Linked DNA regions of Diceros bicornis minor. The protein of the gene in region 1 interacts with the protein of each later gene in a pairwise test. Links are inferred from orthologs where the notes say so. Each region holds a gene or a part of one and is shown in the gene's direction. Other genes may lie near its edges.

What was found.
Region 2: the proteins of CDK1 (region 1) and CDKN3 interact in a two-hybrid assay, tested with the Homo sapiens proteins (2 studies listed by BioGRID and IntAct). The link is inferred for Diceros bicornis minor from reciprocal best matches to the Homo sapiens genes CDK1 and CDKN3.

Annotation. Positions count from the first base shown.
Region 1 is NC_080745.1:44,104,540-44,120,394, reverse strand, and holds the start of CDK1 (cyclin-dependent kinase 1), read left to right. Parts: upstream 1-8,745; 5' UTR 8,746-8,833; exon of another isoform or gene 8,834-8,847; intron 8,848-10,954; 5' UTR 10,955-10,979; coding exon 10,980-11,016; intron 11,017-15,855. UniProt on the Homo sapiens protein: Plays a key role in the control of the eukaryotic cell cycle by modulating the centrosome cycle as well as mitotic onset; promotes G2-M transition via association with multiple interphase cyclins.
Region 2 is NC_080763.1:4,564,187-4,580,053, forward strand, and holds the start of CDKN3 (cyclin-dependent kinase inhibitor 3), read left to right. Parts: upstream 1-10,045; 5' UTR 10,046-10,114; coding exon 10,115-10,123; intron 10,124-10,181; exon of another isoform or gene 10,182-10,296; intron 10,297-12,294; coding exon 12,295-12,377; intron 12,378-13,678; coding exon 13,679-13,734; intron 13,735-14,252; coding exon 14,253-14,297; intron 14,298-15,867. UniProt on the Homo sapiens protein: May play a role in cell cycle regulation. Dual specificity CC phosphatase active toward substrates containing either phosphotyrosine or phosphoserine residues. Dephosphorylates CDK2 at 'Thr-160' in a cyclin-dependent manner.

The DNA of each region.
Region 1 (15,855 bases):
ACGCACACACACTCTTTAAGACTGTACAGATAAGACAAAACTAAATAAAAATGTAGGCAAAAGAATGCTGATTCAGGCTGGCAGTTACCTGGGGCTGGGGTGGTGCTGGAATGAGATGGTGCAAAGAGGATCACACATGTAAGCTATTGTTAAGGTACCAGTTTTAATGTTGGGTTATGGTTTCATGAGTGCTTATCATATTATTACTATAAATTAATAATTATATGAATAAAAATGGCCATAAATGCACCAATGATGAGAGTGCGTCATGAACCAAGGATTACCTTAATCCACTTCTGTGTTCTTAAGGCACCACAAAACCGCTGAAAATAACCATGTATCTTGAGTGGAAAATTCTAGTGATGGGAGAAAAGCTAGACCTACAGCTATATGAGAATGAGCTCTGAAGTTTTTCATCTCTTTCATCTGAAGCTAACAATTGTGGTGTTCCAAGAATAATGAACAACTATTTTAAATACTCTGCTATTAACCAATGATTCAGCTTTGTTTAATCACATTCTTATTTAAAGAAAATGATACACTTCTACTGTTCTTTAAGGACACACTAGTTAGAATGAAATTATCATTAAGATACACAGAATAAGAGGACTAAATATATAATTCCTATTTATAAAAATTAGTGTTAATAATATTTCCAATAATTTATCAGCTGAGAGCGTCATATTTATTTTATTGCACATAAATGGAAAATTGCATGGTGGTAGACAAGCTGGGCTTTGAAGTCAGAAAATCCTAGATCCAAGTCTCCATTCTGCCTCTTATTAGCTATCTGATACTGGGCAAATTATTTAATCTCTTTAGATCTCAGTTTCCTTATCTAAAGCTGGATCTGTACCAATAGGATTTTTGCATTTTTAAAGATAGTTCATTTAAAGTGCTTAGCACAGTTAATGGTATCAACTCTGAATGTTATAAAAGGCAGCTATTATTACCATACTGAAACATTTAAACTGATTTAATTTATCTATTTATATCTATCTATCTACGTATCTATGTATCTACGTATCTATCTATCATCTGTCTAACTATGTGTCTATGTATCTAGCTACCTATCGTCTATCTATCATTTCCTATATATTGAGAAAGTTACACTATTTATTATCAGGAGCTTAAATAACAAAACGAATAAGTACACAAAGCTCTGAAAATGGGGGAAATGTAAACACTCAATCTCCTTAACACTCTTCATTTCTCATTAGGTGATCTCTAAGACTCCATTGGCTCTAACATTTTATTATTCTATAATTCTGTGATTATTGCCTTTGCAAGTGTTTAGAAGCCATTAAAATGAAGATCAGTTTATTTTTAGTTTTGGAGTTTTGTTATGTTTTTAAAGGTGGAAGAGGATGTTCAACTTAGACATTTTCATGACTGAATAAGTTTACAAGCTTCTACTCCTACACTAGGACCTGCCTATTTGATATTTAGTAACACACAGTACTGCTGGAATATGGACAAATTCCATTTTAGATTTCTGTTTGCTCCATTGGCCTCTTTGCATTCCTTTTCTTAAGTTATTGAGGAAGATATTTATACATCTTTAAATATACTATATTTTACTCCGGTGATATTTTGCTTATAGATACAATAGCAGATGCATTCTAGGAATCTCAAGTTAGTCCCTTCCTTCCTTCCTTGTTTCTTCCTTCTTTCTTTCTTTCTTTTTAACAAGATAAGGTAATTGAAGAGAGTTATTCTGATTAAAGGTTTACTATATAGTGATCTTTGCACTGTGAAAGCTTTAAAAGTGTTAAAGGGCAATATCTTGAAATTGTAAGTAAAATGTTAGTGGCAGTATATTCCCTTTCGACGTGTGGTCATTGTAAAAACAACATAAAACTAGTTGGATGGAAATGTTTTAAAATAATCACACATCCCATCATACTGAGAGAACAACTCTGTGTCTATTTATTGCTAGTATAAGTTCATGCTTTTATAAACTCGTAATCGCTGTGTATATGTCTGGGTGTGTGGTATTTAATTAAGGGAAATACCATAATTTACCTATTTAACCATTTCCCTATTAGACATCTAGGTTGGCTCTAAATTTTTGTTATTGTAGAAAATGTTGTAATAAGCTTTTTCAAGTATATGACTTTTATTCATACAGAATTATTTCCTTATGATAAAATAATGTTAGAGGGAATACTAAGTTAAAAAAACAATATGGGCATTATAGTTCTTTAATGCTGTATTACTTTCCAAAAGGGTGTGTGTGTATGTATGTGCATAAAATATAGTTATATATAATATAGCAATATATATTTTAGGATATTATCTGTAAATGAGTATACTGAAGATAGGCTTTTTTTAACTTATCTAACCAAAAGTACACATCAGAATTAACTTTTACCAATCTTTGTTTTTCTTTCTTTCTTTCTTTCTTTTTTTTTACTATAATCAATAATAGACTTGGATTTAATGTACAGGGTTCAATTTAAAAGAAGAGTTTCCAATCAAGGCCATAATGAGATACTGGTTATTGTGAAATGGCTAAATGCCAACTAGTTTTCTGGTCTTACCAATCCAGCTTTATCGCCTTCTAAAAATGTGTACCTTGAATTTACTAACTTGCCTAGAGTGACAACCCACTAAATGTACTTGTCATATTTTTCTTAGCCATGGACTAACTGAATTAAGCCTCCAACCATTACAAAATACCGACAAGAAGGAAAATGGTTGGCTTGTAGCAGGTAAAGATGAGAGCTGCTTCATTTATTTTACCAATTTGTCTCTACTACCCTCTAGTGGAATCATCGTCACAATATCCTTACAGCGCTGCCTCCAGATTAAAAATACACACACAAGCATACAGGATTTCTAAATTTCAGCTTTGTCGAGTTAGTCTCCGTCTGAGATATTATGAACTCCTGGAGGGAATTACCTTTTAACTGGCATTCTGGCTTCTCTCTCTTCCCACACTAATCCTTTCTGTAAAGCACTGCCAGATTAATCTGTTTAAAGGGAAAATGTGATCCTGTCACTCCCATGCTCAATCAAACGAGAAAACCTTCCGTTGCTGCCCTTGGACTATTTGAAGTGCTGCTGGTAAACTTCCCACAGTGACTTCCAAACCTCTTCACAATTGGAATCCAACTCCACTTTCCACTCTCCTCTCATTTACTCCCTACACCCACTCTCCCCTCCAGCCAAATCCCACTGCTGGATGTTCTCCAAACCTATACCATATATTTCCTTTTCTGCCTAGAATGCCATGCCCCCCCCCCCAGTCATCTCTACTCCACCGACTTCCTTCTTCCATTTCTATTTGCCAAAGTTGTGCTCGTATTTCAAGAATTATTTCAAATGTATCCTATGTTCAGCTTTACCAAGCTCCCTTGGTCAATCCCTCACAAGCTAGGGACCTCTCTAACACTGTGCTGTCTGTTGCATATGTCTGTTCTCTTTGCCTGGACGTTCTACCCAGCTCCTGTCCTTCAATTCCCATTGACAACATCAGCTTTCCTTCCCAACCCAAGGATCACATCATTAATGAAGCCTTATCCACCTCCTCTAGTTTTTTTCCCCTCTTTTGTGACCCCATAGCAATTTATTCAAGTCTCTGTCCCAGTACTCACCACCAGAGGTATTTTTGTGAGAGACAGATAGTGATCAATACAATTGGGGAAAAGAAATCCTATATGTGAAGTTCTTACAGTGGGCTGGGCACTGATCTAAGTGAGCGTTACATGGATTACCTCATCTTATGCTCAAAATGACACAACTGGGTACTATTATTATCGTCATTTGAGTAAACGAAGCACAGAGAAATGATGTGACTTGCCCAAAGCCATTGATAATTTAAAGGCAGCAGCCAGGATTCAAAAGGATTTGAGGCCAGGTGATCTCTGGACCCGGATCGTTTAACTACTGTGATGGTAATTCATTCCAAAAGGGCTCTTTGTCAGGACAGCACCACTTGAATGTCTTTCCTCCTCATCTCATTTTGAGTCTGTGGTTTGAGCCTGTGGTTTGGGATTTCATTTTTGGAAAGAATCAAGTATGGTTCCTGTAGTAGGAAGTTTTTGTCATATTGAATAAAAAGGTTTACTTTCCTCTTTGAAATCTTTTTCTTCTTACATATTTCCCCATCTGGACTCTGAAGCTTTGGAGAGCAGGCCTACATTCGATTCTTGTTTGTATGCCCATTAGTTAAGCTAGTGCTTGGGACATAATAAGGGCTTCATAAAGTTATCAAGTGTTGAAACAGCAGATATCTTTCCCTTTTTGTCTTATGTGGATGTGGCATCACTTTACTTTGTATTCCCATAGTGCTTGGTTCAAAACACCAGCTGATGGAAGGTATTTAATTAATTAGCATAAAAGAAGTATAATCATTTGGTGTATATTTCTTATCTGTGCCCCTCCTCTTAAGCTTAAGGGGGACAGATAGTCTAATTCATATTTGTATCTTGAGTAGCCCCCAAGTAATGCCAGGCAAACCAAAGATGCTCAAATATTTGGTGAGTGGAACTGACAGAGTGTCATTTTCTGTCGTACTTCAGTATCATATCACCAGCATAAAATGATGCACAGCTAAGAGCCAGATAACTGATGTTCACAAGGAGGCCCTCGGGCGCTACCAGACTCTGAAGTGCCTGTCTCATTTTTGAGGAAACAGTAAATAATGTTCTGTATCATTTTAGCAGTGAGAGGATATTATTGTAGCTTAGCTCTTTGGAATCTGTCAATTACAGTAAACATTTAAAATGAAGCAGAATATTTCATAATGTGAAACCCCAGGCCTGCATCATTCCAGAGGACAGTTTAAGTCGAATTAGAACTTCATCTATTTCACACCATTAGAAAATGAACTTTTGGGGCCAGCCCGGTGGCGCAAGCGGTTGAGTGTGCGCGCTCCGCTGTGGTGGCCCGGGGTTCTCAGGTTTGGATCTCGGGCGCGCACTCGACGCACCACTTGGTGGGTCATGCTGTGGTGGCGTCCCATATAAAGTAGAGGAAGATGGGCATGGATGTTGGCCCAGGGCCAGTCTTCCTCAGCAAAAAACAGGAGGATTGGCAGATGTTAGCTCAGGGCTGATCTTCCTCACCAAAAAAAAAAAAAAAGAAAGAAAATGAACTTTTATGCTAATTCCTGAACTTATTGATTAGGGATGTATTCATAATTCATTGCCCTCCTTCATTGGGCTGACTTCACAAAGATAAAGATTTAAAGAATTACTTCTCACTATAAATTTTTAGTTCTGGTAGAATGGCCTAACTTAGGCATAAGCAATATTGTGATAAAATTTAAGAGGCGTTAGGAATCCATAAAAAAATACCAAAAATATCTCAGAGATCCAACTAAAACAACAGCCCTGATCATTTCTCCTGGCTCCAAATACGTGTAAACTGGTCTGCAGTTTCAAGTTAAATGCACCATGAATCTAATGAAGCTTAAGTGTCTGGGTTCTGCCTTTGCACAGGCCCCTTCCAGTGCTCTGAGAGGGGAGTTCACATGGTCATGTTGTCATAAAATGTATAAAATAAGATATTTTAACCACAATTTTTTTTTTAAAGATTTTATTTATTTATTTTTTCCCCCCAAAGCCCCAGTAGATAGTTGTGTGTCATAGCTGCACATCCTTCTAGTTGCTGTATGTGGGACGCAGCCTCAGCATAGCCAGAGAAGCAGCGCGTCGGTGCGAGCCCGGGATCCGAACCCGGGTCGCCAGCAGTGGAGCGCGCTCACTTAACCACTAAGCCATGGGGCCGGCCCTTAACCACAATTTGTTGATGCTGCTGTTTCTTTCCACTTCAGCTCCCCCTCAGCCACATTTCCCCACCTGCCCAGTGGCATTGGCGGGACCATGACCATTGCTGGGATTCAGCTCAGGATAAGTTAAGTGAGGATACATTTAGTTCAAGATTAGTGGTATCTAGTTATTTATCCACAGCACTCCCAAGTTATTGCCAGCAGTCCTAAATAGGAATAGCTTCTGAGAATACTCCCTCTATCCATTCTGCTGACTCTCCTGGCATCTGGAAATAAAGGCACAGGGTCAGAGATCTTATCTGAACTGGAACTAAGTGGGTAGTGGGTAATAGAGGAGAAGCTAATCTGTGGAAAACTCTTCCAATTATCAGATGTGTAAAATTACATCATTACCTCATCTCAACTGAACTTCTCTTGTGTCAGGAATACACTTGTTAAGACAGCATGAACAATTATAAATGCATCAGACAATTTTTGGAATGTGGAATATTTAGAATCATGCAAATTTAAAATTTTAATAATTCCTGTGTTTGTAGGGCATAAACTTAGAGCAGTAGTATAAACAGCTCAGATGGGAAAGAAACTTGATGTTTTCTCGAATTTGACAGAAATTCTGTTATATATGATATAATCAATAAGGAGATAAAAAGCCACAAAAACGTTTTTGAAATGACTAGTCATAAAAAACCAATTCAGATCAAATTAAAGGAAGTTAAAGGAAAGACTGAATTATCTTTTTTCTCTCATAGATAATATTACAAAATTATGTCATATAAAGAGATAAAGAGCTCATCGGCTTGGTGGACAAATATAGATTCCAAAAATTGTAGCCCACAAAAAATGTAGGACAAAAGGCATTATAAGGACGTGTCAGGCAATTAGTAAAATATAATTTTTTAAGGATTTTGTGATTTTATGGTATTTTTCAACTTTTAAAATTTTGTAATCTTATAATTTCTTATTCTCAGTATATATTCCCCATCACACTTAATTTTGCATTCTTTTCCTTAGAAAGGGCCCCCAAATGACGTACACTTAAGGCCTCATGGAACTTGCATCTGCCTTTGGCGGTCTGTGGCCACACGGATGTCCCCATGGTACCTCACAATGAAATATCCAGAGTGGCACTTCATCCTCACAACTGCCCCTCAGCCTCTCTCCAGAATGGTACTGGCATCGGCCCTTTGTTAAGCCCACACCCAAGTCATGCCTGATGACTCTTTCCCCCACCCACCCAATCCACCACCCAAGTCTTGTGGTCCTAGCTCCTCAAAATATCTCATCATCATTTTCTCCTCTCCAAACTGACCACCAGCTCCCCTAGGTCAGCACCTGTTGGGATTGTGACAGAGTCCTCCTGGCTCTGGTGCTACCTCACTGTCCCTCCTCACATCTCCTCGTAGTGACTGTTCCCTCCTAACTCCCACATCTACATCACTCCCCTACTCACATCTTTTTTCAATTCCATCCTGCAGTCCAAATCCGTTAGCATGACCCTGAAAGGCCCTTTGACATATGGATATTGCCTAACTCCCTAGCACTGTTTCTCTGACCCCTTTTCCAGCCCCCAAACTCCATTTATGTTCCAGCAATACTGAATTAATTTCAGTCCATCAAGCATGCTTATTATTTCTTCACAATGGACCAAAAAGCTCTCCCCGCTCATGTGTCTGCTTGGCAAACTTCATTCCTCAAGACTCAGTTCAGATGCCCCCACTGCTGTGAAACCTGGCCAGAGCCCTCTCCCCTTTACCACACTCATGCTGCTCCTAGTAACTCTCTGCTCTGTGCAGAGCAGCCTTTACTTATTGCACTTGAAGCACTGGCTCTCCACCTAGATGGGAAGACTCACATCTGTTCACCTGGTGTCTTTGATCCTCATTGGTCCCTGGGTGGATGAATGAATCTCTTCTCCCTATCCCATCCTCAGTTCCTGAAATTCCAATAAGAGATTGAGGTGGGTGGACACATGTGCATTTAAAGTATAGATACCAAAATGTTAACAGCAATCTCTCTTTCAGTGCATTCCTCATGCAATTTCCCCTGCTTGGAAGGCCCACCCCACAATTCTTTCTCCACTCTTTGTTCAAATGTCGCTTCCTCTGTTTGAATTACTAATTTCCTCCTCTAGTTCTCATATCACCTCACAGCATAAGCTACAACATAAGTGCCAGAAGAGAATTCCAAGTAATCCTTGTGTCCTCTCACCTCCAACACCTAGACCAGGAATTGTGTCTGACTCAGTTTTGTGTCTATAAAGCACAGTGTTACATGTTACACGTTAGAGACACTGAATGCAAGTTGGCCCAAAGTGTAATAAACTGTATCTGCCAATATCATAGCCTGAATAACCACTGAAACTTTAAAAAGAAAGATAATTGAGCTAAATTGAAAAATCTGGCATCACAGCTGTGGAAGCTTATGGTCTTCTTTATGTTGAATGTAAAATGGATATAATGAATTACTAGGTGTTTTTGGATGACATAAATTGAATTTCTTGCTTAGGTCTCCCAGAGAGAAAGATATACATTGTTGACGATGTCTTTGAGATTTTTACTACCTCCTTCTTAAGGTAACTGAAATGTTCTCCTTCAGCCCAGCTCGAAAACCATCCATTTAGAAAAAGACAAATATACACTAGCTTTAAATATTAGACGTGAAAGTAATGGAATTTTGCTATAAGTGTAGTATCACTTTGTGATGAGCTATTTGAGTACAATAAATTTTAATTGTGCCAATATTGGGAAGGGAAAAAAACGAACCTAGCAGATTCTTGATGACTAGAAACAGTAGGACGACGCTCCCCTGGGATCAAAGACAGCGCTTGCGCTCAGACTCAGTTGGCGCCCGCCCTCCTGCTTTTTCTGCAGCCGCCGTTTCCTCGTTCTTTCGCGCTCTAGTCTCCCGGGAAGCCCGGCCCAAGCGTAGCTGGGCTCTGATTGGCTCCTTTGAAAGTCTACGCGCTCCCTGACTGGTGGATTCGGGCCCCTTTAGCGCGGTGAGTTTGAAACTGCTGGCGCTTCGCTTCAAAGCTGGCTCTTGGAAGTTCTGGGGAGAGCGACGCCGACGTGGTAGCCGCCGCGGGATAGTGAGCCGGTAGACTTGCTGGGGTCAGGGTCATGCCTTGGGCCGTCGACTCGGCAGGGCCGGCTCGGGGGCCTCGGAGGGGGATATTGAGGAACCGGGTGCTATTTAGCAGGCTGGGCTGGGCTGGGCAGCAGGGGTCTGCGTGGGGCCAGGCCGGGCTGGGCCTTCATCTGGGGCCCAGGGTCTGGGCGTCTGAGGGACGCCGGGGCCTGGCTTTAGAGAAAGGCTTGGGGGAGCCCAGACCTGGCGGGGTTACTCCGGGAAGGGCTGGGGCTGCCCTGGCCTCGGAGTTGCAGTCTGGGGTCGCGGTCGGTTCTCAGGAAGAGGCCGCCGACCTGGCAGAGGAGGCTTTCGGGTCACAGGTGAAGCCAAATCCGTGCAGTGGTTCTAGGACGCTGAGCGCCTGCGCGGTGCCAGGCTCCGTCCTAGGCCCTGCGGCTCCCGGCCGCCCCTTGTGCGCTCTGCCCTCGTCCCCGGGGGTGGAAAGCAAGACCACACCTGGGCCAGGTACCCACTCCAGTCCCTAAACCCAGGCCATCCCGGAAAACCGATCCGATGAACTAACTTGTGGGCTTCTGCGGGCTTGCCTCTGTGCCCCTGGCCCTTGCCCACTCAGGGCCTTTAAGAACGCTTAGCCAAGGCATAGAGCCAGGGGGAACTTGGATTTTTCCCCTTTTTGTTTTAGGCTTGGTGGTTTGGCAAAAGGTGAAAAGCTAAGACATGCCGAGTGATAGATGCATATGTGTGTGTGTTAATATCCTTCAATCAATGTTTATTTAATACTGAAATTACTAACGTATACGTCTTGCTTCCTCTAAAGACCTGGAGGTCTCTGTGGGTAGGAGATTAAGCCACGGGTATTTTACATCCTGAGGCCAGTAGTACAGAGCCCTAGAAGTCATTCTAAAGCTGCATCCTTGGTTTAAAATTGTTAGGACAGAAAAACGGAGGGTGAGTAATTGAACCCAGCTTTGAAATTGACTTAGCTTTTAGCTATTTGTTCCAAGTGAGCTCTACAATTTTATTGTGCTTTCCACAAATTAAATCTGCATATTGAAGAAAGATAATTATCCTAATCGTCATTGCCATTTTGTAAAATTTAAAAATTTTAAGATTGGCACTCATGGCCAGTCTAGTGCAATTTTGTTCATTTAAAAAGATTTATCTCTACTTATTTCTGGGATGATTTTGAAGATGAATGTGAGAGATAGACCTTAAGGGTCGGTTACTCAGAGTGACCTTGATCACTGATGTTATCAGTGATGAGTGAGTCAGAAAATCAAGGTAATTATGCTCTGGGCCTCTGAAGTTAATGTTTCAATGGCCAACTTATCAGCTGAGGAAGTCTTGAGTGTCTGGTTGTCAGCATTTCAGCTCTTTTTTACCATTCTTTGTGATTCAAGTATATAGTTTTTTACTTTGTTCTTGACATTGTGTAGGGTGTAATTAGAATTGTATCTGTGGAATTGCACCTTTTCTTTTAGGGTGCTTAGTGATAAGTCCTACTCTTGTAAAAAGTACCTTGAAAGTCTTGATCATATTAGTGTATGTGACTTCTAAAAACAGGAGAAAGACTAAAACTGTCACTTGAACAAGTTTAAACACTTATATGCTTTTGCTGCCTTAAACACTCTTTCTAATGGATGAGCAGTGTGACCACATTTTAGCTCATGTCTTTAAAAATTGTTTCTTTTGTATTATCTTCGTAAAAATATAAAGCAGTGCAAACTCAGTCAAATAACATATTTTTTGAAATATTTGGGTATAACTGGCACTGGTGCTCCTCAGAAGTGTTACATAAAGAGAACATACTTCTGGTTTCTGTTTGGGAAGAATATGTAAGTTGATGTCTGAATTTGAGGGTTAATTTGATTGGAAGAAGCTAAATATTTATGTTGCTAAATATACAAATATTTCCAATGTTTTAAGAGCTAAGAAAGGTGGGAAAGTCTTACTGTAGGAGTCCTTTCCCTTGTAAATATTGTTTTAATATAATAACTAATATTACAGAAAATTAATACTGCACTAGGCATTGTGGAAAATGCTTTACAAATAGTATCTCATTAATAACTTAAAACCACCCTTTGAGTAAGTGGCATGTAATCAAATCAGTTTTTCCTCTCATTTTAGGATCTATCATACCTATTGATTAACTATGGAAGACTATATCAAAATAGAGAAAATTGGAGAAGGTGAGTGATTTTAATAATATAAAAGTTTTAAAAAATGATTTAATGATGCTATAATGTCTGTGACATGAAGACGTAAATATTTATTAAAGTCCAAACTTTAAGGTATTTTACAGTTCTAATGTGCTTTAATATATATGTTCTTACATAATAACTTAAACATAAAAATGTTTACATTTCAAGAGAATTGAAATTATTCTGATACGACTCCCTGACAGCCTCCTCCTCTATCCTCCCTTAATCTTACATTCTTCTAATACTAAATACTTAAAGCGATGTTTGTATTTTGAAAACACTATTGATATCTTGTATGGGTGTTGTAGGAGAGAGGTTAGGTTTCATAATGTACTTTTAGTCTCCTACAATTATTTTAAGATAATAAATACTTTTACCTAAACTTTCTAAATTGGTTGCAATAATTCACTATTAAACTAATTTAAATAAATTTTCTATTTAGTTACCCTAGGTTTAAATGATCTGTCATGTGTACATGTTTAAGCTATTCTAAAACAGTAACTTGTATATAATCACTCATTCCCTTTCTGTTGTACTTGCATTAAAGTTTTTAAAGAATGTTATATGGCATAACGAGGGGTAAAAATATCCTGGCATAACGAGGGGTAAAAATATCCCGTTGCCTGTTTTTTTGTCTTTCCCTTCAGAATATCTAAGTTTCTGTATAGGAGTCTTGATATTAACATTCTAAACTGTCCAGGAACAAATGATACAACTTATACAAAATAATTTGCTATTAGAGGCCAATTCATGTAGGTTCTATTTGAGGAACATTTCCAACTATATTTTAGTGTACTCCAAAACCCTACTTATACAAGAAATACTGCAAAAAAGCTAGGGGAGGAATTCTGGAAGGAATTTAGTAAGGTAGTAATGACAAGTTTGGGTGGTGGTTTGCTTGGAGATAAATTCTTTTTTTAAAACTTAGAAATACACGATTTTTATTTTTTGTGAGGAAGACTCACTCTGAACTAACATTCATTGCCAATCCTCCTCTTTTTGCTGAGGAAGATTAGCCCTGAGCTAACATCTGTGCCCATCTTCCTCTATTTTGTATGTGGGACACTGCCACAGCATGGCTTGATGAGCAGTGCATAGGTCTGCGCCCGGGATCCGAACCTGTGAACCCCAGGCCACTTGAAGGGGAGCAGGCGAACTTAACCAGTACGCCACTGGGACAGCCCCCTATGATTTCGTTTTTTGAAAAATTAATTTACTTTATTATATCCACTCAACTAAGCTAATTTTGCTACTAATTTAAAAATAAGTTTGCTACTAATTTAAAGATAACTTAAAAATAAGTAATTAGACATTAGATACATCTAATGTCTTTCTGCTTTGTAGTTTTTCTTAAATCCTCAGAGAATTTCATGTATTGATTTTAGTTTGGAACAAAAAGAAGCATTCTTAAAGTGTAAATGTATTTTTCTTTAAAACGCTGGAACTCCAAACTGTATACAGGAGACTACAGATTTGACTCTTGAGAAAAGTACTTGAATCGCTACTACAGATTTGTTGGTGCTGTCAAGTCGATTCCGACTCCTAGTGACCCTGTGTATAGCAGAGTGAAACCCTGCTTGGTCTTTCTGGCCATCCTCTCACCTTCCGGCTCTATGTCAGATAATGCTCTGCTGCTATTTATGGGGGTCTTCCTGATCAATTTTTTCAGAAGGGCGGCCAGGCCCTTCTTCCTGGTCTGTCTTAGTCTGGAAGCTTTGCTGAAACCTGTCCACCATGGGTAACCCTGCTGGTATGTGAAATACTGGTGGCATAGCTTTTAGCATCACAGCAAGGCGCAGCCACTGCAGTAGGACAATCAACGGACAGGTGGTTTGGTGCCCAGACCTCGAAATGAACCCGGGCTGTGACAGTGAGAGTGTGGAATGTTAACCACTAGACCACCAGGGCTGATTGCTACTACAAATAGAAGCAGTTAAAAATATAATTTCAAATGTAGTATATTACATACATATAGTGGAGTCACAAGATCCCATTTCTACCAATGGGACAACCATAAACCTTTTAACTTCTCTGGATCTCAGTTTCTCTTTCTGCAAACGGGGATAATTGTCCCTACCAAAAAAGATTATGATTATACAAGGAGATAATGTATGGAAAGGATTTGTTTGAGTGCTTTAACTCAGAAAACCATCAAATGTTAACTATTTGTTATTATTACTATGACCACTGTTTCCACGACCATCAATGTCGTAGCCCCCTTGCCAGCCTCTTCCAATTCCACTCAACTTGCTAATTTGGATTTCTTGGACATCCTCACATATGCCCTGTTCTTTGACCTCTGGGTCTTTGGCAATGCCTGTTCTTTCACCCCGGAAGCACCCTCTACTGGCTTCACCTCTCATCTCCTTGCTCTAGCCCAAGTGCATTTTGTAGTTCCCTTTTCATTATCCTTAATATGCTTTTTCTTTGTTACGCTGTAAGCTCCAGGAGAGTTGAGATTTTTCTTGTTCACAACTGTTTGACCAGTGCCTGGCAATAGTGTCCAGCAATAGGAGATACTCAAATTTTTAATAACAACTTTATCTGTTTTTTTTGTGTGTGTTTTTCTGAAATCTGTCTCTTCTTTTTCTGGCTTATATTGTCTTGACTACTCCAGTGCCTGGCTGTTTTGGATTATGTGCTGGACATTGTTTTTGAAAAAAATAACTTGTAGAAATAATTTAAGGCATAGATAATATCTTCCACACAGTATTTTCTTTAGCTCCTGCCACGTACCTGGTCAAATTCAAACATTCAAATGATGATTTTAAAAGTTATAGTTATTCCCTCAGCTTTTCATTTTGAACATTTCCAAACCTACACAGTTGAAAGATTTATACAATGAACCTGTAATACCTTTTGCCAAGATGTTAGTGTTTTGTCACATTTACTTTATTGTATATGTGTGTTTTAGCATTTTGTTTTTCTTTTGACCCATTTAAAGTAAGCTGTAGAGATGTGCTTTGTTTTTAAATACTTCTGCATGTATCTTCTGAGGATCTAGCCAAGGTCATGCATTTCATTTGATGGTTAATGTCTCCTTAATCGCTTCTAGTTTAGATTAGTCTCCCTAACTTTTTCCCCCTCGATATTGAGTTTTTTGACAACCCAATTCATTTCTTAAATACATCCAGACTTTTCTTATTTCAATTATTACAAAATGGTTCTCTGCTTTCTTCTGAATTACAAAAATCTCAGTGTTGTCACATTAGTCTTTGAATTCCTTAAGAAAATATCTTTTTGGATCATAGAGAGTAGGTATATCCATGATGTGGAACCTTACTTGGCATTTAGTAGGCATTCTATAAACATTTGTTGATTAAAGGTTTTCTGCTTACCATTAGTCTGTATAACCTGACCATATCTAACATTTTTTATTTTATAATGTTGAGTTCATTTCAGAGCACATACCATATATCTCATAAATAATTTTTTTTTAACAGTTATTTATTTATTTATTTATTTTTGTGTGTGAGAAAGATCAGCCCTGAGCTAACATCCATGCTAATCCTCCTCTTTTTGCTGAGGAAGACCAGCTCTGAGCTAACATCTACTGCCAATCCTCCGCCTTTTTTTTTTCCCCAAAGCCCCAGTAGATAGTCGTATGTCATAGTTGCACATCCTTCTAGTTGCTGTATGTGGGATGCGGCCTCAGCGTGGCCAGAAAAGCGGTGCGTCAGTGCGCGCCCAGGATCTGAACCCGTGCTGCCAGTAGCGGAGCGCGCGCACTTAACCACTAAGCCACGGGGCTGGCCCTCATAAATAATTTTTGATGATTAACCAGTAGAATCATTTTGCCCTGTTTAGGTAGAGTTCTGTTCCAGTAGTTCAATGAGAAATGATAATGGTTCAAAAAGAGTCAGAAAGAAGAGACCCATAGAGCACTTGTGATGTCTAAAATTCAATTCAATAAATATTAAATGTTGGCTAAGTGCTAATTAGTTGTTATGAGTAAATTTTAGGACCCGATGAGGTTGTACACTTGGAGAGGTAAGATACTAGAAAAAAAATTAGTTCTGAATTGCTTATTTGACTATATCATGCAAATAACTAATCTTCCTGAGTCTGCTTTAATTGTGTGCCAGATGAGTGTGCTACTGACTTACCCACTTTTGTGTTTAATGCAAGTATAATTTACATCTGAAAAATGAACAGATTTTTTTTTTCCCTTTTTTTTTTTTTTTTAATTGATGTTTTAATGGTTTCTAACATTGTGAAATTTTGGGTTGTACATTTTTGTTTGTCCATCACCCCATATATGACTCCCTTAACCCCTTTTGCCCACCCCCCACCCCCACTGCCCGGGTAAACACAGTCCAGTTTTCTCTGTCCATGTGTTGGTTTATATTCCACATATGAGTGAGATCATACAGTGTTTGTCTTTCTCTTTCTGGCTTATTTCACTTAACATAATATGCTCCAGGCCCATCCATGTTGTTGCAAATGGGACGATTTTGTCTTTTTTTATGGCTGAGTAGTATTTCATTGTATATATATACCACATTTTCTTAATCCAATCGTCAGTCGAGGGACACTTAGGTTGCTTCCACTTCTTGGCTATGGTGAATAATGCTGCAAAGAACATAGGGGTGCATAAGCCTCTTTGGATTGTTGATTTCAGGTGCGTTGGATAGATTCCCAGTAGTGGGATGGCTGGATCATAGGGCATCTCTATTTTTAATTCTTTGAGGAATCTCCATACCGTTTTTCATAGAGGCTGCACCAATTTGCATTCCCACCAGCTGTGTATGAGGGTTCCTGTTTCTCCACATCCTCTCCAACATTTGTTGTTTTTTGTCTTGGTGATTATAGCCATTCTAACGGGCG
Region 2 (15,867 bases), on another chromosome or scaffold:
AAGCCTGATCTGGGGCAGTGCAGAGGGGGTGAAGAGAAGGGGGCCAAAACAAAAGGTATTAAGGAGTTGAAAAGGTCACCAATTAAATATGAAGAGTAGAGGGGGTGGAGGGAAGAGCTAAGATGACCCTCAGGTGTGGGGCTACAGTGACGTGGAGGAAAAGCAAGTTTGAGGAAGAGATCCTAACTCAGCCTTGTGCATGTTGAGCTCTACTGCCTGAGGGCCATCAAGGTGGGAGGAAGTGCGCACATGGGTCTGGAACTCAGAAGGGAGGTGAGGGCGACAGCTGGAGATTAGGAATTCACTGGTTTACTGGCAGTTGAAGCCACAGGATCAATAAGACAGCCATTTGAGAGTATGGGACATTAAAAGAGAGCCAAGGAAAGGGCCCTGAGGACAGTGAGAGGAAGAGGAGCAAGGAGAGCCCACTCCTCAAGAACTGGGGGAAGACGAAATTTTAAGAAGCGATCAGCCATCAGAATTAAAGACCACCGAGAGGTCACGTGAGATGTCCACTGCATGTGCCAGGAGGATGTCATCAGAAGATGTCCTTCACAGAGCATATCAGAAGAATGCCAGAGGCACAGGCTAGAATTCTGAGTGTGGTTGATGCGGAAGATAATAGTCAAACAAAAGACACTCTGTTGTATTTAGGATTCAGGAAAAAAATATAGGAAAGTACTTCATAAAGGACTCTACCACAGGAGGAAGAGAGCCTTTAGAATCGATCCCTTTAACCAGGAGGAGTTTATACAGCCTTTCTATGCCTTTTTCAACAAAGCACCTTAAAAAAGAAGATTAGCTAACATCCTGCTGGTTCATTTACATCAACTGGTTCAATTTAAGAACCATCATTTATTTTCACCTCCTCAGTCCATCAACCTTAAAACAAACTCCAGTGTAAGGAGTCCAAATGTGTATTTCGTCTTGGATTATAAACAAGTTTTATAATAAAAATTGTTCTTGTATTTTTTCTCTTTTATTGTCAAGAGATTTCACCAACAGAAAGTTCTGTGATAACAAGATGCAATTTGTTGCATTGGGATTTATGCTCTTATTCTTAGAAATCTAGCCACCAAGGAAGAAAAAAGTCTGGTTCTATTCTTAAAGGAGAGACATATTTTCTGATTTCATATTTTCCTTCTGAAAAAATATTTTTTTCTTGTTTAATTTTGCAAAGGAAAATAGGATGAAAAAGAAGTGAGAAAGAATCTCTGAATGCAGACCTTTCTACTGAAAAACTAGACTGTGAGAGTGAAAGTGATATGGGGCTAGTTTTGGGGGTGGGGAGTATTGTTTTGGTGTGTGTGTTGTAATATTGGAGAGACTTGAGTTCTTCTTTGGACTCTGAAGAAGCCAGTAGCGAGAAGACACAGAAAGAGAAATAACGGATGCTGCAGATTCCACAGAAGGGAAGGGGTCTGTCTCGTATAGAAGGGACCCCTCAGTGGAACTAGAGGAAAAGGGGTGAGCATTGTCGTGGCCAAATAATGCGATAGGTGCAGACAGATTTTCCTCTGTGAGGAAGGCCAGGCCACAGGCTGAGCCAGGGGAGGGGCTCCTTGTTGAGGAGAGCGGGGAGGGGAGTGGAGGAAGAGAGAGAAGGGCAAGAGAAGAGACTGACAAGTACACACAACGCCCCGGCAAGGCAACCGTATTTACCTTCCATTTGCACCATTTAACAGAGAAAAGCTTGTAACTACCTTCTGTCTATGTTGAATAAAAACAAAATGAGAAAAATAAAAGAGAATAAGAAATGGACAAGATGATATTTACTGTGCAATTAAGAAGAGGGTGGGCTTATAATTATTCATTCACTTAATTATTTATTCAACAAATATTTACTGAGTGACTATTATGAGCTAGACACTGTTAATAGTAATTAACAAAACAGACAAACATTTCTGCCTCACAGAACACACGTTCTAGTTCTCTCCATATTTGCCAAGATAGTCCTTGCTCAAATTTCTAAAAAGTGTTTGCTTTTTTTCACCAGCTTCCACTGCTATACAAAATACACCAGCAACAGCCTCTCTTCCTAATGAAGGGCCAAAGCCCGAAGAGCGGGTGTGAAGCCACTACAGCTGAGGGCAGGCTGGTTAACACGCCCTCAGATGACGCTGGAGGACATCTGAGAAAAAGAATGCCTTCACTCACTTTGGAATTTGGCCCGGCCTCCAGATTTAAGAGTCTCTGAAAGAATTAGTGTTTTCTAACAATCCATCCAACACGTTAGGTTCAGAACATGATTTTCTGATTAGGCACAAAACTCCTTCTGGACTAAGAGGCAGATGGCTGCTGTAAAACTCTCGCAAGCCCCCCAGGTGTTTGCTGCGGAAGCTGAAAGGGGCAAAGGGATGTGGCCATATCCTTTCTGGTCAAGTTTCAGGATAAAATAGATTTAAAGGACAGAACTGTAACCAGGATTTGAACACCTTGGGAAGGGATGTGGTATTTGAACAACATCCTTCCCAGACTAAAACCCACTCAGACACGGATTGTCCTTCCAGGCACTGGGCAGGCTGGTTTATATTAGCAGCCAAATGCATAATTGCCAGGAACTGGCCAAATCCACGGAGACACCAGTCACTACTGAATGCTGAAAAATGTATGTAATATACCGTATTAACTGTAAGCCTGGCTCTTTTAATCAGATCTGAGTCCCACAGTGGGGATTTCTGCACAGGAGGAAGATGTTTACTGCCATCTCCCATTCCGGGAAGAACACAACTATGATCTGGTTAGTCTTGCCAATTTCTGTTTTATATGTTAGGTTATTAATATGGATGTTTATAACATACATGTTTCCAACTCATTCTGAATTCACTTCAGTATGAAGTGATAAAAATAATGCCCTTTCTCTTTATTTTAGATTATACCGACAATGAACTGGGTATTACTGAACTACAGATTTAAGAGGATCACCCTCTTCTCCATTCCTGGCAGATTTCTCAAATTGGTTTCCCCAAAACCAAGTTGCGATGAGATGGGGAAAAGGGCCTCTCAGAAGCTGCCTAAACCCAGCCCCTCCGGGCTCGCAGCAGCTGGGACAGGTGAGGAGCCCAGCTTCAGAAACTGACCAGACTTCCTCCTAACCTGAAGATAGAAAATTCTGCCAGCTGTTCAGGCTCTCTTTCCCAGCTTCTTTTATGTAGAGCCTTGATTCCTCAAGTTCAGAAATCTGAATTTCCCAAAAATGGATCCAGCCCCAGATAATTCTTTCATACCAAACAAACTCACCAGGGAATTCTCTGAGCTCAGAATTCTGTCATTTCATTCATTTCCAAGTAGCAATTTCATTCTACACGCAGCAGATGAGGGGCTTGCAATTCAGGTTACGTGGTTAGGTGATTACTCCAAGACCCCTTGGCTAATTGCAGAACTGGGATTTAACTTCAAAGGCCTTGCTCTTTCTGCTAGAGCATACTGCCTTCCTGGTGGGAACCCAGCAGGCAAGTGCAACAGGAGGTTACAAAACAGCTTCCAGAGAGCAGAGTGCACTGATGGAGGGGCAGGGCAGGCGACAGGGTAGGACAGGCCACATGGAGAAAGCTGGCAGTGGACAGCAGAACCTGTGTGACTGAGGGTCAGGAGCCAGAGTCCAGGGCAGGCCAGGGATGGGGAAATTGGCAAGAGATCATTAGGGCCCCATTCAGAACTAAGATATGAACAAAATAGAAACTGTCTCAGGAACAGTAGAGAAGCCAGATTAGGAAAACTGGGCACAGGGTATACCGGGTGGGCTCACCACCGCAAGTATTAACCTCCAACTGAGTTGCAGAGCGCCCTACTCCAGCTCTTTCCATCTCCCTGTGAAAGGAAGAAACTGGCTGGGAACAGAGCAGAGATGAGCCTGCAGGTGGGGCCAAGTGGCTGCCAGCCACGGGGCTGAGAGGAAAAGCAGGGGCAGCAAACTAGATAGGTCACTGCAACGCCAACACCAGCCTTCTGAGTCCAAAATTCTTTCCTACATGTTTTATTTCTTGACTGTTCTAAAATGTGGTTTTGATTCTGTTTTACGTCTGGAAAACTTTCCTAAAGATTGCTTGAGAAAGGGTGACCATATAATTTACCACTCAAACGTGGACACTTTTGAAAGTAAAAGGGAGAGCTGCTAATGCTTGTGCCAGCACAACAGTGATAGACCAGCACGGACCCAGGCCCACCTGCAAGCAAGGTCACCCTAGCTTGAGCCCAAGCACGTGGGACTCACGCAGCCTGGGCACAGCTGGCAGAGGGTGGGTGAGTTAATCTTGCCAGGACTCTGGACAGGAGAGGCCAGAGGACTCGTGGGAAGTAACTCACCCTAAGGTAAAAGAAGTCAAAGTACACAAATTGGGTTCAATGTCATCAAGACAGACCCAGAAAGGAGGGATGATTCTCTGTACTGCCCACTGTTGGCCACACCCAACGTCCTGGGTCCCAGGACTTTAAAAAGCCAATAAAAAAAGAGCTGTTTAATTAAATTTTCCATGGGACATTGAGGATGAGAGGGTTAGCAAAATCCTGTGCCAGCAATGTCAGCAGCGACAGAGAAGTGTGGCACTTTGTTTGGGTGGGTCGTCAGAGTACCCCCACAGTCACAGCACCTTCAGGGACATCAGCATGGCTGCTGCTCCAGGCTTTGGCAGTGACCTGAGACATTACCCCAGCCAGGAGAGCAGGAGCGCCAAGACAGCAGCTGTCTTGCTTTTGTATCTCAGAGCATACGGGAGGTCATCCGTGAGGACTCACTGAGCAATTTGCACAATAGAGAGGGGATGCAGTTTCACATAGTGCATAGAGAAAGAACCAGAGAAATATTATTCCATAAAGGATAGTTAATGTGACTTGTTTTTCTTTTTTTGTGAGGAAGATCAGCCCTGAGCTAACATCCATGCCAATCCTCCTCTTTTTTTTGCTGAGGAAGACCAGCCCTGAGCTAACATCTATTGCCAATCCTCCTCCTTTTTTTTTCCCCAAAGCCCCAGTAGATAGCTGTATGTCATAGCTGCACATCCTTCTAGTTGCTGTATGTGGGATGAGGCCTCAGCATGGCTGGAGAAGCGGTGCATGGGTGCGCGCCAGGGATCCGAACCCGTGCCGCCAGTAGCAAAGTGCACGCACTTAACCACTAAGCCACAAGGCCGGCCCCTGTGACTTTAATTTTAGCCCAAGCTGGTGGTGCCTGGGGAACTTAAATAACAGTTCTTCCATCACAGTGTGAGGTGCTCACTGATGTTGTCTACATTGGGGGACCTTCCTAATTGGGGGCCACTCACTTCATATCAGTAGTTTTATGGTCTAAAATAGGCATGTACCCCCAAAAGATACACATTGCAATGATACATATATATATAAAATAATGCAGAAAAATATTTATACATGGTAATTAATACATAAGATAGAAACATTTTCCAAAAATTCCTAACATTATGAACTTCTGCTACCTCTTAAAGAATGACATCGGGGCCGGCCCTGTGACGGAGCAGTTAAGTGCGTGCGCTGCACCGCTGGTGGCCCGGTTCGGATCCCAGGCGTGCACCGACGCACCACTTGTCAGGCCATGCTGTGGCGGCGTCCCATATAAAGTGGAGGAAGATGGGCACAGATGTTAGCCCAGGGCCAGTCTTCCTCGGCAAAAAGAGGAGGATTGGTGTGAATGTTAGCTCAGGGCTGATCTTCCTCACAAATAAAAAAAAAAAAAGAATGGCATCTACTGATTCTCTCTGATATCCAACTGATTAGTGTTAGTCTTTCAAAAATTTGAAATTAGATACAGCTTTGAAATAAAGTGACTCACTCACGGAATGGCTAAAATGAAAAAGACAGACAATACCAAATGCTGGCGAAGATGTTGATCTAGAATTCCAAAACAGTGCCAGTGAGTGTGAATTAGTATAACTTCTTTGGAAAACTGCCAGTATCAACTAAGGATGAACACACGTACTTCCAATCCTAGTATAGACCCAGTAGCAATATACATGTATATTTACCAAAAGACATGGACAAGAATGTTTATAGCAGCACTATTCAAAACAGCCCCGCACTGGAAACTAACCAATGTCTATCAACAGTAGACTGGATAAATAAATTATAGTAGATTCACACAACAGAACACTGCCATGAGAATGAACAAGTACAACCACAAACAACAACATGAATGAATCTCACAAACATAAAGTTGAGCAAAAGAAGCCAGACACAAAAGATTCCATTTATATACAATTCACAAGCAAGCAAAATTAGGCAATAGGGTCAGAAATCAAACAGATGTAACGTTGGAGGGTGGGGGCTAGTGGACAGAGACACAAAGGAGGCTTCTGGGGGCTGGTAATGTTCCATTTCTTGATCTGGGTGCTGGTTACATGGGTATGAAATTTTATTGAGCTTATCGTTTGTCACTTCTGCTACATTCTGCTAGTTAAACTGGTCACTAAGGCCAGACCGTACTTAAGAGGAGTGTACTCCACCTGGCGTGGCAAAGTCACACTGCAAAAGAGCACGTGGCGTGAGCGACATTGTTATGTCCCTTCCAATTATAAATACAATAGCACTTTAAATTTTAAATGTTTAATAAATTTTACAATATACTCCAATTATCCACTGCAAATTAGAACTCAGCCTCATTCTGGGGTAAAACAGAAAACTTAGGAAGGTAGAGAAGAAATTAAGAGCATCAGCAAGCAAAGCAAACGGGACAAGGAAGACATTCCAGGTTAGGCCCCATTCCTTCCCTGACCTGGAACTGTGACCAGAGGAACAGGTACATTTATGGGGCAGGCCCAGTTACGTGCCCAGCAAGATCCCATGAAAGGAAAGGGGTAACCCACCAAAGGGAGAAGCCATGGGAAACCACACATGCCTACTGCAGGTGTCACATACTGTATCTGATCATCATCAAGACGACAAGAGAAATTCTCAAACTCGCCTTCACGAACCAGGAAGTACATCCTCTCCAAGTTGCATTCAACTCTATGATTCCAGTGTTCTCTTCCAACACACACGTCAAATCCATTAGTATTAATATTAAAATATTTTTAAAATATGGATCTAGTTGTAAAACATACATCCAAGTGCAACTACTGATGGCAGTTGTGTTTCATTTCTCTTTGAGCATCTCTCAAAATTCTCATCTGTCTGGGAACATGTGTTAACACTTCTCCCTCTGGTAGTTTGGATAAATCGTCCACATTGTTTTGACCATATACATTTCTGTTAACAGCCATGAGTCACACACCAAAAAATTAACTGAAGACGACAGGTATGGCAAGCTGAACATAAGCCCCGACTCCTCCGCTCAGGCGAGCCTCTTGGGGATTATTAGAGAGAAACCAGGTTACTATGATGCCATTTAACCAGACGGCTCAGCCAGAGGCCTTGTCAGTCTATGTGGGACCCTCCATAATGAAGGGACCGAGCCAAGCAAAGGAGAATGTTTTAGCATGATAAGGCCAGGTCTCTCACCTCAAGAAGTAGACTTAAAATCATGTTATTAAAAGAAATATATGTTTCTCTCATAGACTATATACCAGGGGTGGGCACACTTTTTCTGTAAAGGGCCAGAGGGTAAATTTTTAGGCTGTGCAGCCATACAGCCGCTGTAGCAACTACTCCACTCTACTACACAAAGAGTAGAGCAAACGCCACCTTCAGCAACACTGACACAAACGAGTGCAGCTGTGTTCCAACAAAACTTTACAGAAACAAGCCTGTGGGATTTCGCCCGTGGGCCATAGTTTGCCAACCCCCGGACTGGACCCAAAAACCCTACATCACAGAGGTGAGATGCGTTTGTCTTTGGGGAGTGAAAGAGTAAAGCCTGCACACAGCCCTGCTGGTGGAGAGAACAAACAGAAGTTGAAACACTCCCAGTTCCCCCCAGCCTGTCACCTCCTTCCTACCACAGTACTGGAGCCGGCCTCTCCTCTCTGCAGAATCAGCAGGAGCCAGAACAGGTGGAGACCGTGTGCACAGCTAGTGGAGTCCAGAGGGGGCAGAATCTGGATGACACACGAGGGGGCTGGCATTGCATTAGTTCCCGGGAGGAAGGTCTGTTCTGAGGAAATGGAAGGGACACCCGATGATGCAGATTAAACAGCTGTGTGGGGACAACACTGGGGGCAGTGGAGAGAAGGCGAGAGTTAGGGAGTGATGGAGCATCAAACATCCTGAAGCCCACCTGGAAAGGACTTGTTCCCCTGCGCCATACAGAGACAGGAATTAGCCCACCTAGAGCCCAGGCCCCAAGCTTTCTTTGGACCCTCTCTTGAATCCTTCAGAAAAGAAGCTCTTAAGCCTCTGCTTCATCTCCTACCACTCTCTGCCTCACTCCATCAGCCTCACCCACACTAGCCTCCTTGCTGTTCCTTGAACACACCAGCATATTCCCACCTCGGGGCCTTTGCACCTCTTTACTCTTCAGACAGACTGAAAACTCTTGCCATAAATATTCAAATGGTTCACTCTCTCTCTTCATTTGGATGTTTCTCAAATGACATCGCTTCAAAGAAGCGTTCCTTAACTTTTCTATCTAGAACGGCACCATCATCAGGCTCCACTTGTTTCAATTTTTCTTCACAGCATATATCACTACCTGACTGTCTCCCCCAGCAGCATGTGAGCCCCATGAAGGCAGAGACTTTGTTTAGTTCATGCCAGTATTCCCAGCACCTTGAATAGTACCTAGGACACAGATGGTACTCGACATATATTTACTGAATGAATGGATGAATCAAGTCTAGTGTGTCTGTGATGGCTAATTTTATATGTCAACCTGGCTGGGCTATGGGACCCAGATATTTAGTCAAATGCTATTCTGGATGTTTCTGTGAGGGCGCTTCTCAAAGAGAGTAACATTTAAACTGGTGGACTTTGAGTAAAACAGACTCCCCTCTATAACGTGGCTGGGCCTCATCCAATCAGCTGAGGGCCTGAATAGAACAAAAAGGCAAGAGTGCATTTTGCAGCAGATGGCCTCCAGACTTCATGTGCAGCATCGGCTCATCCTGGGTCTACAGCAGACTGCCTTTGAACTCCAACTGCAACTCTTCCCGGAGTCTCCAGCCCCTCAGGCCCTCCTACCATCAGATTTTGGACTCACTAAGCCTCCACAATTATGGAAGCCAATTCCTTTAAATAAATCTCTTCATGTATATATCATATTCTTTGTCTCTCTGGAGAACCTGATTAACACAGTCTCTAAGTCAAACTGTGCTATCTTCTTTACTAAGGAATTCTTCCTAATAGCTCTGTACCCACTGGTTTTCACAACCTGAGACAGAGAGCTGAAACTTCTGCATACTTTTGTCAGATTTGCAGGTAATGTTGCTTCAGGTGACTTCCTTCCCCATGGCCAGCCTAATGGGGACTGGAGAATGGGGGAGAAAATAATCAAACACATTTTTTAAAGATTATAGCCAATTATGTAGAAACACTGGCACTTAGAACCATCTGGAGATTTTTTATCTTCCCTTCGTATGCTTCTGTTTCACTCATATTTAGTGAATAGGAATGTTGATCTACACCCTAACCTGTCTAGGTCCTGGAATGGTAAAAAACATAAAATATCAAAGATACAAGGTATGTTTATAATCTGGATTTTTAGTCGTTTCCATAATATTTGTACGACTAGATATGACCATAATTATAAACTCTATGAGACGTGGTGTGTTTTCACAAGACGCTCCAAGACAGTGCTCCCCCCATGCCTTAAAATATAAAAAAATTTCAGAAAACAAACAAATTTCCCTTCTGTGGTACCACTTTGAACTCCCGCCATGACAAAGCGGGACTCTCCAGCATCCCCGAAAGCGCTTCCGCCCTCCCCGCTCCCCGCTCGCAACGGGCGGGAGGAGGGCGCCCTCCCAGCCAATCAACGTTCAACAGGCCCTCCTCCGCGCGTCTTTCAAAGGCCTCCTAGCAACCAATGAGCGGTTAGAGGCCGAGGCGAGGCCCGGGGGGGCGGGGTAAAACCAGGGAGAGGGTCTGATTGGCTCCTAGGAGACGCCGGGCCCACCGCACAGAAGGATGAGCCAATGAGCTGAGCCGAGGGGCGGGCTCGGCGCGGGTGGAGGCCGAGACACCGGTGCTGCCGGGGTAGGCGGTGGCCGGTCAGGACGCAGGGCGGACAGTGATGAAGCCGGTGAGTCGGCCGAGGCTTGGAGGGGCGGAGCCGCAGGGGCGGGAGCGGTGCCGAGGCCAGTTCTTGGGCCCGGGGACAGCGCAGGCCTGGTCGGGCATGACTCGCAAGTAACCGTCCTGGGTCGGGAGGTGGCGCTTCCTGGGACCGGCGAGGGCGACGGCTGCGGAGGGCAGGTCAGTGGCGGGCGCGGGGAGACGGACGCTCGCTGTGCGCCTGTCGTGGGCTGAAGCTGTCGCCTGCGGGGTCTCCTGCGCCTCACGACAGCCCTGCCAGAGAGGGCTGAGGCCCGTCCTACGGAGGAAACTGAGGCAGAGAGAGCTTAGGTGTCTGCCTGATACCCCGGCCTTAGAGGATGTCCGGGCTCCCTGCGCCTCCCTGGGAGCAGTCCTCACCGCCGATGGGAAAACGTCACCAAAGACGATTGCCAGCCCCCCCCCGTGGGTGTGACACCACTGTCACCATCTCCCAGGGCCACCTGGCATTGCGTCCCATTCCCTGGGGTTCAGAATCCCCGGGCCTGAGGGAGCGGAAACATGCAGCCTGTTAGAACTTGCACACCTGGCTGGGGGAGCCTGAGGGAATGGGCCACACAAACTGAAAATCTTTAAAAACTGCTTTAAAGAGAAAGAAAGAAAAAAACAGAGGCAAGGAGCTGAAGCCCCTGACTCGCATCACCTACCACCGGTGCTGACAACCTATTGAAAGGCCTTCATTTGAGTTGAGTTGATAATAATAATACAGATAGATGCGAAGCAATCAAATCCATAGCCTAAATCGGCTCTGTAATGTGATCTTGCCATAACAAACAAGACCGTCATAGAATAGAGCTCCAGAGCTAGAAAGGACATTAGGTGGTCACACTTGCTAATCCCCATGTTCCCATGTGGAGGGACATCCCCTGTCCTTCACTCTTGGCCTGCTTCTCCACCTGTCCCCAGAAGGGGAAGAGTGAGTGATCTGATCACACAAGTAGCTCAACCCTTTCTTCCCTTCTCTGCAGAGAGTACTTTCTGGGGTGCACTCCGCCACAATGGAGACTTGGGTTGTCCATCACTAGTCCAGCCTAAGACTGGGTGGATAAATCCAATCCTGGATTGAAGAATTGACAAGCCCACTTGACCACAGCTTTACAGCCACATCCTCCATTTGACCCTCAGTAATAAAACTAACATATTGATCTCCATTTGCCTCTCCACTATCTTCTCTCTCAGTTGGTTCCAACTAAGGAGTAGAAGAAAGATGTGTTTTTCACTTGTCCTATTTTTATTGGTCCAACAGTCTTCCACGTAGAAATGCTGCCTACATGCAGGATCGAGTTCCCCCTGCTTAGATGAGCATGCGTATTCCATCCCCATCTCCCTATTCGATGATTCACAGAGCTGGAGGCAGGTTATTCACCTATATTCCACCACCCCCTGCACCCTGCCAACCAAACTACGAGGCTGTCTGGGGTTGTTTGTTGAGAAATAGGGTAGGTAAAACTGCTTCTCTAGCTTCCTCTCCTCTGTTCTGATATCCCAGTCCTGAATACACAAGCCTTTCTCCTTGTGCCTTAATTGCCTTAACTTCCCCCTATCTGCCTAAAAACCTCCTGATCATCCTCCAAAATACAGCTACTGCATCTCCTCCGGGACGCTTTCTCCAGCTCTCTAAGCAGTCACTCCCTTCTCTGGTCTCAAGTGCACAGTTTATGCTTCCATTTTAGCGCTTACAACTCTCTTCTGTCGTCCATGCACACAGCTGTCTCTCACTGAAGGCAGGCTAGTTATGTTATGGATCCTTGCCTCTCCAGAGCTTGGCAAATGAAGGTGTCCAAGAAATGTTTGTAATGAATGAATAAATCTCCTCACTTTATAGTTGTGGAAAACTGAGATCTAGAAAAAACTGAAGTAACTTGTCCAAGATTATACAGTGAGTGGCAGAGCCAAGACCAGAAGCCAGATTCCTTGGCTCCCAATCCCACGCACTTGCCGCTCCCTAGTGCTGTAATTATCAATAGGATGGTAAACAGCAGTCACTTATCATTGATGTTGCTGCTCTCTGATATTCCAGGTTGGTAACTGAATAAATTGCAACCATGCATTGTGTGTTTAAGCAAGGATCAGGTATACTAAGAGTATAAGTAAATATTCTTCTTTACAGTTATTTAACATAACTGATTTCTTTTGAAGCCTACTTCAATGCAAAGAAGCGAGTTTGATTCATCAGACGAAGAGCCTATTGAAGATGAACAGACTCCAATTCAGATATCATGGTATGTTAACATTTCTAATCAATGATGAGCTAAAATACTTAATGTGTACATCGTAATCTTTGTAGAATGTAGTCCACATATTGAAAATATTTACTGATTCTCTTCTGCTGATTATATAATTCTAATCTTTAAGTGATCTTTTAACTCAATTGAGAAAACCATAGTAGAAACAAGTAAGTAAGGAGTTGAGATAGGATTGGAATGATCTCCCATTTAGTACCAAAATCTACTTATTCTTTTCCAACAAAAGAATAGTGTACCAAACACAGGATAAGATATTTAATCATTTATCAAGTCAAATCCTAGAACTACTTGCGTCTGTCTTGCATCTATCGGCAGACCCTGTTTAAGATAAAAGCCACGTTACTATAGATACAATGACAAAAACAAAAGTTTCTATATAAAATCAACTTCCAAATCTTGGGAATGACTTATGGTTACACCAGATTTTCTACAACCAGCAGTCAAATGCTTTCTCTCACCCCTGTAAATGTAATAATCTCTCTCCTTAAGAAAGCACCGTGCCCTACTGTGGAAGAGAAAAAGGAGCGTAAGTGTTCTTGTCCAGAAAGTTCTTTTGTTCTGCCATCAAATAGCAATTATCTTTCATTTCCCCTTCTAACTCCCCTTTTAAACTCAAAAAAACTTCTAATTTTCAGTCAGGTGGTATGTATGTGATGCCCGGTTTCCTCCGCAGTCACCTCTGTCTTGCAGACAAAGTGAGCCTCTGCCCCTTGGTCCCTGAGTACTGTAAACTGCCAATAGGATTTCTTGAAATTATTTCTTTTTAACCAAAATCCATTACAACAAAGAATGGGTGGCCTGTGGTTTTTATTATATGAAATTTTATTTATTTAAGGAAGTCCTACAAAGAAATCTTAAAATAGTAATGTAGAATGAGTGCTGGGGATGAGATTGCCAGTTGGCCCTTTTCCAGCTTATTTACGTAAGATTACTAACACAAATATCTCAGGTAACATACCACAGAGTGCCTTAAGTACAATTTATACTAGCTGCAGGCAATCTAGGCATTATCATCTTTAAGGTAAGAATAAATTAATTTGCCATTTTTTAGACGTAAATTGTAACAATGCCCGTAAGTCCCTGTTTTAAAACTTCCAGTTTTTCTAGGCCTTTTTGTGACCAACACATTGCTATTTAACTATGAATTTTTGTTTTATTACTACTTAAAACTTTAAAACACCCTTGTTCAGTGCCAAGTGCACATTTGGTTAAACTGAATTTCCATTTACAACTCTTTTAAAACTGGACCAAACTTGATACAGTGATCCTCTTTTCAGGCTCCCTCTGTCGCGAGTGAATTGTCCTCAGTTTCTTGGTTTATGTGCTCTGCCAGGTAGGTGACACTACAGTTGGCTTCCTGTGGATATATCTGAAATAATTTTTTTGTCAGCTAACAACATCATTCTCTGTACTGAGCAGTAAGAGAATTTCATAGACCATCAGCACTGGGGAACTCACTTTTGGAAGCCCTCCTTGAGGGCTCTCAATAAAGGAGCATAGATCCACTCTTCCACCCCTCCACACCCACACGCACAGTTCTACACTTCTGAGTGACCTCTCTTAAGAAACCGTGAACACTGGGGCACGATGTGAGGCTGAGGACGACAGCCAGGTACCAGTTACAGAAAGGAAACAGAAGAAAGAATCCTCAGATTAGGAGTTTCTTCTGCTAGGATCCCTAGAATATTTTCTTAAGAATATAAGAAGTTGAAATTCACATTCAAAATGGAATTGAAGCATATAAATGATCATGTGGAGTGACTTTCTACAGTACACTATATATATGTTTAAATATGCTTGTTATACATGACCAAAAACTGACTTTTTCCCTTGCCTCATTACTACCTATAGGTTGTAAATTTAAAGATGTTAGAAGAAATATCCAAAAAGATACAGGTAGGTGTAAAATGAGACAACCTTATTAATAGGTTTTGTTAAAAATAATACTTAAAATCTCTTTGTCAGAAAAAACAAACTGTAGTCTCTTCTCAATTTTCCAAATAAATGTTCAATATTTCATAAAGTTTCAAACTATGGACTTATTCTAATATGTGAAGAAGTATTTGTGAAGGGCTCAGAGAACTCATCATTTACGAAACATAGCACTGCTTTTCACTGATTGTTGTAGTTCTTTTATACATAGAAACTGCATTCAAGGTTAGAATGTGTAAGTTGGAGGGAGAAAAGTATGTAAATAGAAAACTGACACTGCCCTGCCCAGATCTTTGAACATAACTGTTCTTTATAGACTTGCCTGTGATAGTAAAGATTCAGCCTGAGCTGGAAACCCAGAGGTAGAGTGAAATTGTCCATCCTGGATAGAAAATTTAGAGAGCCAGCATCTAGGTGGAAGAGAGGGAATAGAGTATAATCTTCACATGCTCTAAGATGTTCATACCACTATAGCCTCAAGTCTAATAATCCTACAAATACCCTGATAATCTACCTCAATTTGTAATTTACATATTGCATGATGCCAACAAATTTGGATTTTCAAAATGTTTTATTCTGGTTGGCCTGGTTATCTCAAGCCTAATAGTCCTATCAATGTCCTTATAACACACCAAAGGAAAATGTACATATTGCTTGATTCTGACCAGTATAGATTTTGTACATCTTAAAGTTTTTTCCTGGTTGTTCTGGAATATCAATTTGCTAATATACTTTCTTTAATTTATTTTTTACCTACCAAAGAAGACTTAAAGAGGCCAATCAGAGGCTGGCCCCGTGGCTTAGCCATTAAGTGCACGCACTCCGCTGCTGGCGGCCCGGGTTCGGATCCCAGGTGCGCACCGATGTACTGCTTCTCCAGCCATGCTGAGGCTACGTTCCACATACAGCAATTATAAGGATGTGCAGCTATGACATACAACTATCTACTGGGGCTTTGGGGGAAAAAAAAAGGAGGAGGATTGGTAATAGATGTTAGCTCAGAGCCGGTCTTCCTCAGCAAAAAGAGGAGGATTAGCATGGATGTTAGCTCAGGGCTGATCTTCCTCACAAAAAAAAAAAAAAAAAAGAGCCAATCGATTAGTTGACCCTTGCAGTATTTGTACAGATTTTCTGCTTTAGAGATACCCACCATGGTAGGAAATTTCCATTTGGGTAACATTTAAGTCATAAGCAAAATGTAATTTAAAGCATTGGTTCAAAAACCAATCTTGTGTATTTTGGAAAGCCCTATTCACTTAGTATCTTCATAAAAGGGGTTTCCAATTTTTTACCAAACCTTTTTTTCTTCCATTGAAATCTTAAATGGAATCCAATATACAAAACAGATGACAATGTTTGATGGCAGAGACCGTGAATCTCCCTGCAGCAGTGCCTGTGCTTCCTCCCCAGAGTCCTTTCTAGGACTACTGTGTAACAGAAATTATCCAGTGTGTACAAGAGGCAAATAGAAAATTACCTACTCTCTTAAAAATGGTTAAATATGTTAACTACAGATTAAATCCTTTTACAAGTA